Schizosaccharomyces pombe: one gene and its partner. The gene in region 2 interacts genetically with the main gene of each other region. Each region holds a gene or a part of one and is shown on either strand. Other genes may lie near its edges.

Region 1 (4,873 bases), on a different chromosome or scaffold from region 2:
TAGCTTTTTAAGAAGCTTCAACGTATAGTAAATTAAGATTTTTAACGATTTTTATTTTATACTTATCTTAATTTAGAAGACAAGATAATCAGCATATATCATTAAATTGTGAATATCGCAAGACATCACAAAAAATGTCATACACAAAATCACTGGGTTTCCGTTCCCCAGACCAAGATATAATTGTTTAATTAATCAGCTTTCAGTTTAACTCAAAAGGTTTAAAGAATTCAGTCAACATGCTAAAAATTTTAGACGCTGACCTTCGATATGAACAAAAATTTTCAGTTACATTTATCAAAGTCTAATCAATTGTAAATTTAAGTAGACTATATGTCACTCTGATTTGTATAAAACGAATGCTTATGCTTTCTTATCCAAATGGAGATAATAAGTAGAAAGAAAGCAACAAACAGTTAATCAATGAAAACACTCGTACCATAAATTTAAATTCGCGCATGCTCTATAAAATAACTTTCTAAGGTATAGCAAGCCAAACTATGAATCTAATTGTAATTTAACATTTAAAATTTAACATAAGGCTTTTCTTTTGCATGCCTAGTTTTCCTTGACTATTAATAATTTAACACAAAGTAGAGTAAATTCACATTCCCAAATTTTGTAAAAGAATAGTTCATTAGGGGGGCTATGCTATATATACCTTTTTGCTAATTAGCACGTCACAATAATCGTGACTGCTTTACCTTAGCAACGCCTACCTTAGTTAGCTAGGTTATACTAATAAAGTCTATAGCGAGAAAAAGCATAGAGAGCGTTATTTCGTCAATTTTAAAATTTTTATTAATTATCGCTGAATAAACACAAACTAACCGAAAACTGTCCCCTTTTATTAAAGCAAACGAACAAAACTAAATATTTGGCCAAACCTGGTAACAGAAGCAGTAACCAAGGTATATTAAACTTTTCAAAAGACGAAGGGAATCATGTTTTAAGTATTATAAAATTATATGTACCAAGAAAAAAAGCAAAGTATGCGGCATTATGATTTAATTAAAAGATTCCATTAAAATACCAGCTCTTCCACTTGCTATCACATTGAACTTTGCCGTCCTTGCCATAAAATAATTCCAACCTATCAATTTCATCAGCATCACGACCCTTTGTTTCAGGAAGCAAAAGTGTGAAAAGAATGCCACCCCACATGCATCCGCAGAAAATCCACATAACGTTACCATATCCAATAACACCGGTCAAAAAGTTAAAAAGAAGTGATGCAAGAATAGCGCCACATTTACCCAAAGCAGCTGAAACACCATGAGCAGTACCACGTACGCGTGCAGGGAAAACCTCAGCGGGATAAATAAAAGTGGTGGAGTTGGGACCAAAGTTAGAAAACAGTTGGGCAATAACAAAACAAGCAAATCGACCACCAGTGGAAATTTCGTTCCAACGTCCTGCCAAAATTGCAAACATCAAACCAGTAATCACGAAGCCTTGTAGTTGAATCCATTTACGTCCAAGAATTTCAACAAGGAAGACGTTGAACCAGTATCCAGGAACATAGCCGGCAACAGCGATAATCAAGTTGCCAATTGCGTTTTTCATCAATGTGCGGTATTCGTTCGTACCAGTACTGAAGCCAATATTCTTGAGAATGACAGATTGATTAAGATTGACACCGTAAAAGGCAATATCCAACAGAAACCAACAAACAGATGTACCCAAAAGATGCTTAAAATGACGCCATTGTCTGAAGTAAGTGATAAATCCACTGCTGTTTTCAGGGGTTGTAACTGCGGCAAATTGTTTTTCAATGTTATCAACTTCAGCGTCAGCAGCATCTGCTTGATTAGCATAACGATCAGAAGCTTCGACAACCTCGGAGTCACCATGGCTAGATGACTTCTTCATATTGTCCTCATCATCGGTATTGAAGAATGCCTTTGGATCTTTTCCTTCAGCACTATTAAGTGCTTTAGAATTCTCGTATGATTTAGATTCTTTCATGATGAGACGGGGAATAAGAACACCAATAGCAGGAACCAAAGCAAGACCAAATTGAAGACGCCAGACACCTTCGAGTTTATGATAATGACCTTCCCGATTCAATGGATGTTCGAAACAACCCAAAAGGATGATGGTAACAATGGCACCAGCAAGAGTTCCGAAACCTTGGAAGGCAAAAATTAAAGAAATAAGTGTACCACGTCGTTTAATTTTACTACGCTCAGAAGTGATAGCGGCAGACATTGGATAATCACCACCAATACCTACACCGAGCAACCAACGCCAACAGAAAACCCACATCATTTTCGAAAGAGGAGAATGAATGCTTTTAGGCATAGCGATAACCAGAACAGTAGCGATGATAACAATAACCATTTCTTTACCGTAGACAAATTTACGGCCAAAGAAATCACCCATAAAACCAAATAACAGTTGTCCAAAAATGTTACCAATATTGGCTGACGCATTTACAAGACCACGAATACCAGAGGGATAATGGCCTTTTCCTGTGGGACCTTTTTCAATACCACCCCAATAAAGATATTCAAAAATGGGAGTAACTAAATTGATGATAAAAAGATCGTAACTGTCAAGGAAAAACCCGACACCTGCAAGCATCATAAGTTTAAATTCGCGCTTTGTCAACCCCAAGTAATAGCGACGCTCTTGCGCACCCTCTTCGACTTGGTCGAGAGGTACTGCATCGTCGTTATACTCATCAGACTTAGATCCAATGTTTAAAATTTTGCTCCCAAATGCCATCTTGTGATTTCCTTGCGTTCAAAATATGAGAGAAAAGGAAAGCAATGAATGATAAAGTAAGTCTTAATCGCTGCTTTATGCAAATTAATGAAGTCCGAATGCGGTTGCAATTAGAATTAAGAAAACTGAGTACCGGTGGTTTACACACACAGATAATTCAGTATGCAATGGAGCAATATATATAGTAAACTACCAGTTTGTCAGATTGGTGGCTTTGTTATAGAAAAAAAATTAATAATTAAGATCAAAAGCTTTGGTGTTGACGTTCCCTGGCAACCGGCACATTCACCACCTGCTTAATCTTATTTCAAAACAAAATAGCAAAACAGGAAGAAATCGGAAATGCAAAACACTATGTTTATAAGTAAACCGTCCAATTTGCTTTGTAACTGATATGAATCCAATAAGGAAATATAAAAAAATAGTAAAAAAATATTAACAATTAAAATTTTCTATTTCAGGATTAAGGTAACGCGGTGTTAGAAAACTGAGGGAAAGTAATGGGTCAATTTGGTTTAAGATTTGCACTTTAAAGTAAAAGAATTAGCACTAGCGGACAACTGCAAAAACAGACAATTATACTAAAGGGGTATCAGTTCATAAAAAAGTTGCAAAAGTGGTAATACCCTCGTTAGACCCACTCGGAAATCTTAAGTTAATAACGTTGACATTACTAATTGAGACAAAATTGTAGTTAAGAGACAAACTCATACTGCAGAGAACTCAATACGGTATGCATTCAAAATGAAATTTGCGAAAATAAAAATCAGTATGTCATTATACAATACAGAATTGGCCCAAGTAAAACACGGTTTAATCGTCGAGCTGTTTGGTTTTTTCAATTCCATGGAAAGCACGCGATGTCGTTGTTTTAAAACCAGTAATCGGCCGGTTTCAAAAGTATACATTCCAGAATACCACGGATTGATGCTGTGTAGCTCAATGCATGCCCACACACAGAACACCCGGATAAGTTGGTTCCGATATCCTCCAACCCGATAGGATGTTGGGTGATAAGATTTCTTTGACAAAATAGACATCAACAAAGCATGCATGCTTCCACTTCCATTAAACTCGGCGAACGGAAATGCCGCCATCCTACAAAATTCCCCTCACCTCTCCTATTGTCGGTCTTTGAAATTAACAACTACCAGGTACCGAGCAGAATGTTCTGCACGGAATTGACCTGACAACCGGCATCCGCACAAAACAGCCACTTCAGCAATTTCGGTTCCAAGTATGTTCCATTCATGCACGTAAACCGTAGTTTATTTTAGGAACCTCAGTTTACCGAACGCTAAAATTTATTAGGCAGCATATACTGCCGAAGCAAAAAGATGAACGGATACGAGGATTTTACCGCCCGCCACCCTTCAACAAGTGTAATGGATATAAGATGATTTGATAGTATTCGAAAATTTTTGAATTTTCGTGTCGAGTAGCAAATTCCATTGTTTTACATTCTTGCTATCTAATTAAAAGCAACGATGAGTTAATCTTTCGTGCATTATTCTAGTTCGACAAAACGCAGAATAATTTTCAAGAAAAGACCGTGGAAACTAATTAATTATTATAAGGACAGATGTCGATATTAATAAATTTCAATTTCTAACGATTTTCATAGTTTAATTTGTTATGAATTAATTCTATCTCATCCTCTATGACTTATTTCGTTCTATTTCATACTACCAATGCGTTTAAATTAAAATTAAAAATTTGAATAGTTAGGTACTCAGGCTTCTTATATAGCTATTGATGCAGTGTGTGACGTCATTTTTTTAAATTGAAAAAGGGGGTTTTTGACAGGGTAAGATTGTGTACCGTTCGGTATGCAAACTGAACTGGAAGATTGGAAAAATTAAACCCTTTTCTGAAAATAATAGGAATTAAGTTAGGATAGTCGAAACAATTTCTTCCATATAACTATCGTGATCAGTCAAGGGCAGTTTACTAATTTATTTCCAGCGTCGTATATTGCCGAATTCACACGCATTTTACTCACATCGTTCGAAGATAAAAAAAATATAAATAATAAAAATTGAAATTCGTGTAAGCGAAAAGGAATGTGTGAGAAGGATTTTGGACTGTTCTATTCTCATGGGAATGTGAAGTAACTACTCTCTTGCTACCATAGTTGCTTGTT
Region 2 (4,857 bases):
ATGAATAAATATATATATTAACATATATTGATATATGTATAATCTTAATACAGTTTACAAACTACTGTCTTCTTAATTAAGAAAACATGGTTCTCATGAAAACTTATATTGTTATTTAAGGTCTTGCTGCTATATATGCATTAGCAAAATGCACATTTCCAAAAAATGAAGTTAAAATTATCAGTTTACAAAAGACATTGAACTAAAGATCAAATTTTTCCACAACCGAATTAAAATGTAAGATTGTGTTTTTTAGAAGAAGCCAATGCGCTAATAATAATGCCATGCTTGCATTGCTTAAAAACAAACGAACTTCTTGCCTTCATGTAGCAAGGCTATTATCACGAATTTTCATGTTAATTTCGCTATGAATGCTTGGTCTTTTCTGAGTTAATCAATACTATTTAGCTAAGGTTTCGCTCATATAGAATACGAAAATTTCGCATTTATTAATGCAAATTTCCTCGATGTTTTTAATATATTGTGTTGCTAATCTGACTATATAACACTGCCTCTTCAAGGGACAAATAGTTTTAACAAAATTTGTTTACATTATTGAGTCAAGCAATTACGACCCGATGTTATAAGCATTACGCAGATTTCTTTTACAAAAGGGAGGTCTCTTTCATTTACCCCAAGCTTAGCATTACAAAATCATGTGCAAATGAGAAGACTACTTTTAGGGAAAATAAAAATCTAAACTTGATTGGAAAGCGAAAGTTTAAATCCTAAATTGTTTGAGGTTGACGTGTTAGTTTTTCACCGTAATAAGTAAATAGCATTGTATAATGAATAAAAGAAAAATTTTGATAGTTTAACAATTGCTGCTATTCATATTTTAATAGAATCTCAAAATTCATACTAATCGACTTTCTTATCCTTCTATATTCTTCAATATTTCAAACTCGTTTTAAGTCTCTCCTATAGCTTGGGATTATTCAATGAAATTGTAATTGTCGTCCTTTCCTTTACATTGTGAATACTAAAAAATTGCTTCTTCCAGAATTGTTTTATTGACTCACGGATTTGCAACATGTCCTTCTCCTCTTTTTTTTTTTTTTTTCTTTTTTTTTCTAATCTGTAAAAAAACCAAAATTTTACAATCTCGATAATCCTTTTAATGTCTATAGTCATCAAACACGTTTATCTACTTACTCAATACGATAATGTACAATAATTCCATACGAAACTTGCCCTTATCTGTTTTAGTTTTTTGTGGCACACCGTTAACTAATCGTGAATAAAATGGTTATTACAGTCATAGTCCGGTTTAATCGGATCAATCAAATATAATTAGATACCTACTTATTATCATATACATACAAAATTAAAAACAATACAAAAAAGAGGAAAACAAAGAGGCTCAACTTCTTACCGACTATCCTTTATCTCTCTTTTTTTTTTATTTTTTTTTATTTTTTCTCTTTTGGCACAGTGCTACAGAACATTTGTTCAACAACCCAACTCTGTACGTTTCACACATTGTCAGCAAATTGTTGACAATCAGCACAAGCCTCATTCTATAAAGCTAAGGAAGATTTCGTACCACTGCTGGTCTTCCAATTGCCCCTGCTTCCTTTCCTTTTACTGTAAGGCTTACCGGAAGGCCGTTTACTAATAACATTGCGAACCCGAGTGCGGTTGGGTAGTATTACCTATACCGCAAGTTCCTCCGCTCTTTTTATGACGTCAGGGGGAAATGCTTTGGTTTGCCACCTTGCGTCGTCTAACGCGGTGCAATATAAGGATGCGAAAGGACTGCAAGGATTTTCACCTGTCATGAACCAACAAGGATTTTGACGATTAGTACAGTGTTAAAACTTTTGAAATAGTATCGAAAATTCATTTACTATATGTATAAGTATTAAGGAGTTACGCATCTCTTTACAATTTTAAACACTCACGTACCTTTGGTTGAATCAAGCCAGGCAGGTCTCCGTTTGCGAACGACGGTTTCGGTTGATTCGAAACGTGGTATTAGAAAATCATTTTATTTATTTTCATTCCCATTCCATTTATCTATTCTATCTAATTTCGTCCCATTGTAGCTTGTTGTTTTATCACAAGCAGCTTTTAGGTCTTTGGGCTGTTACTTTTTTCTTCACTTCATTCCATTACTAATATATATATATTTTAATCAAAACGTACGCAATTCAACTCTGCGAAACTCTATCTTGCAAGCTTTCTTTCTCCATCTGCTTGTAATAAAGAAAATACTTAACTCCGATACTTCGATTGCAAAGGTCGGAGCACTCATTTTTATAAAAACCACAAAGCTTTCTCCTTCTTGGGCTTTGGTTTTTTATTCTGTAGTTTTACCGCCTTTCAAATATTTTGATTTCAATCTTTTGTAAAGGTTTCATCCTCTTTCATTTTCATTGAAAAAAAGTCCTTCCGATATGAAATTTGGACACGATTTTAAAAGGGCTCTCGAAAACGATATGCCCCCTGGTTGGGGCGAGGCTGCCATTCAGTACAAGGCCTTAAAAAAATGTATTAAAAGGTTCGTTTTTGAGCTGTCTTCCTTGGGTCTAAGTGCTGAGACCATCAGTAAATTGATGGCTCCGACTACCGTGGATCCCCAACAAGCTATTACGCTTAGTTACTCCCTTGGCAAAGAGGGACACATTGTTGTCCCCAAAATTATTATCAACGTAAATTTTGATAAATTGAAAACTGATAAGTTCGCTGCTTCAATGTTCAAGCAGTTGAATGCATCAAATATGATTACAACCGTCAGGAGTAATTATGCCTCAAATGTTCCTTCTACTCCTTCGGATTCTACTCAGCAGCCCCCTACCAATACGTTACCAAGTGTGTCCGCATCATCTCAGAGCGTAGAGACTTGTGAAACGGTTGATGAAGATATCGATACTCAAACTATGAGTTCTGACATGTCCGAAGTTCAAAGTATGGAAATATCGTTGAACTGTGACCACGAGTTTTTTGAAAAATTAACTTCGGAGTTGCAAAGTGTTGAAGGACTACAGCGTGAACAGCGTAAAATTCTTTTTAACGCAATTGATATCCTGAGTCATGAAATATCTCTTATAGCTTCCCCTAATTCCAAAAAGAAATACAAATCTCTTTATTGCTGGAGAAAAATTTTCGAAATTTATATGGATTCCGATATATTTATTTCTTGCAAGGAAGCTGATCAGAGTCATGAACGCACTCCCGAGCTCGCTGAGCGCCATTTGAAATGGTTTGACGATCAGGTCAGGCTAGCAAAATGTCTTCCCTCTTCCTCAAAGCATCGTGATCGTATTTTGTATGCTAAGTTTCTTGAACTTAATGAAAGTTTGTTGAAAGTTGCTTCTTTTCAGCAAATGAATAAGTTAGCCGTTACGAAGATCATGAAAAAGTTTGATAAGCGGACATCCTTAACCGCTCAACCTCTATTTTTTCAAGTTATCGAATCAGACCCTCTTCTTTTGGTCGACAATGCTTCTAAAGCTATATGCTTTTCACTCTCTTCTAAGCTATTCTCGATTATTCCTCAACTGAGGGATTTTGAATGCGCTATATGCTCTAACGTTGCTTACAAGCCGGTGAGATTAGGTTGTTCCCATGTTTTTTGTTTGCATTGCCTTATCATTCTTCAGAAACAGAAAGTTGATTTCTGTCCGTTGTGTCGTGCCAAAGAAGTTATGAAAGCCGATTCTCGCAATATTGATCACGCCTTGATGAATTTTATGAAAACATATTTCCCAAGAGAGATTAAGGAAAAGTTTGAAGAAAATGAGAACGATACGTTTACTCCTTCTTCAATTTCTGTTGTATCAGGTCAGAACAATTGTGTGATAATGTAGATAGACGACGGATTTGTTTCCGCTAAATTCCCAACCCTCTCTTAAAGGCTCAGGACTATTTTTTACTCACTATATTTGATTATCTGTTTTTTTATGTTTTCCTTGCCTAATTTGCATACTAACTTTCTATTTTTCTTTCCTCACCTAACTTTTATTGCTGTAAATAGCATTTTCGTGTGTTTCTTTGTTATAAACGTTTGCTTATAATTCTCGGTTTTTTCTTATATTTAGCTTTTTTAAATGCTTGTACATAATACTTGCTCATCACATACCATTAATCTTTACTAAACCGAACATATTTTTTAAAAATCAACATAGACAATAGACATTTATAGAATTTTAGCTTACAAAAGCTGTGTAATGTTTTAGGAAATCGTATTCGTAACTTAAATTTACCAAATTTGAACTCATTATTCATATTATTCGGAAGTTCTTGTAGTCAACCTCTGATGTATTTGTAAACTTAACGTAACTTTCAGCAACTAAACATTGATAGTCCGAAAAACAATGCTTTTATCTCAATTCCTAAGTTACCCACTTACAGTGTTTAATATGTCTCTCTTCACAGATTTTAATGAATAATTGTGCTATGGGTAGTAGTTTTTGTGTTTGGAACACTAGCAAAAGCTGTTTTTTGCTTTCTAAAACCGACTTTACCGGAGCATCAAGAAGTCCTTTGCCACGATTTCACTGAAAACTCCGAATGAACAAGATTTAAGATATTTGACAACGTTTAAATCCGAGTATTTCGCGGAGTAATTTAAGGCTGTTTACAACTATTACTAACTCAACCTAATATCGGAGTAGTTTTGAGCGTTGTACTTTTTTGTTATAAGTGGAAGTAATTATACTTCACCAGCTACTAAATATTCTAAGTGGTAATGGAATATATAGTGTCATTACTTAAAGGTCACATAGACTGAAAAAAGGAAACGTTTGGATTTTTTTGATGAATATATTCAACTATACTACTCTGATTTTTCGCCGTTTAAGCTCTACCTTCAAAGCTTCAAACAAAGCCTCTATAGAGTGGAAAAAGCAGAAC

What was found.
Region 1: of pqr1 (region 2) and pho84, a mutation in one rescues a mutant of the other (synthetic rescue), as found in Schizosaccharomyces pombe (one study listed by BioGRID).

What each region holds. Positions count from the first base shown.
Region 1 is NC_003423.3:4,442,109-4,446,981, reverse strand, and holds pho84 (inorganic phosphate transporter), read right to left. Parts: upstream 2,882-4,873; 5' UTR 2,731-2,881; coding exon 1,012-2,730; 3' UTR 782-1,011; downstream 1-781. UniProt on the Schizosaccharomyces pombe protein: High-affinity transporter for external inorganic phosphate.
Region 2 is NC_003424.3:2,420,746-2,425,602, reverse strand, and holds pqr1 (ubiquitin-protein ligase E3), read left to right. Parts: upstream 1-1,776; 5' UTR 1,777-2,399; coding exon 2,400-3,812; 3' UTR 3,813-4,157; downstream 4,158-4,857. Other genes in the region: protein Rrg9, read left to right, coding at 4,762-4,857.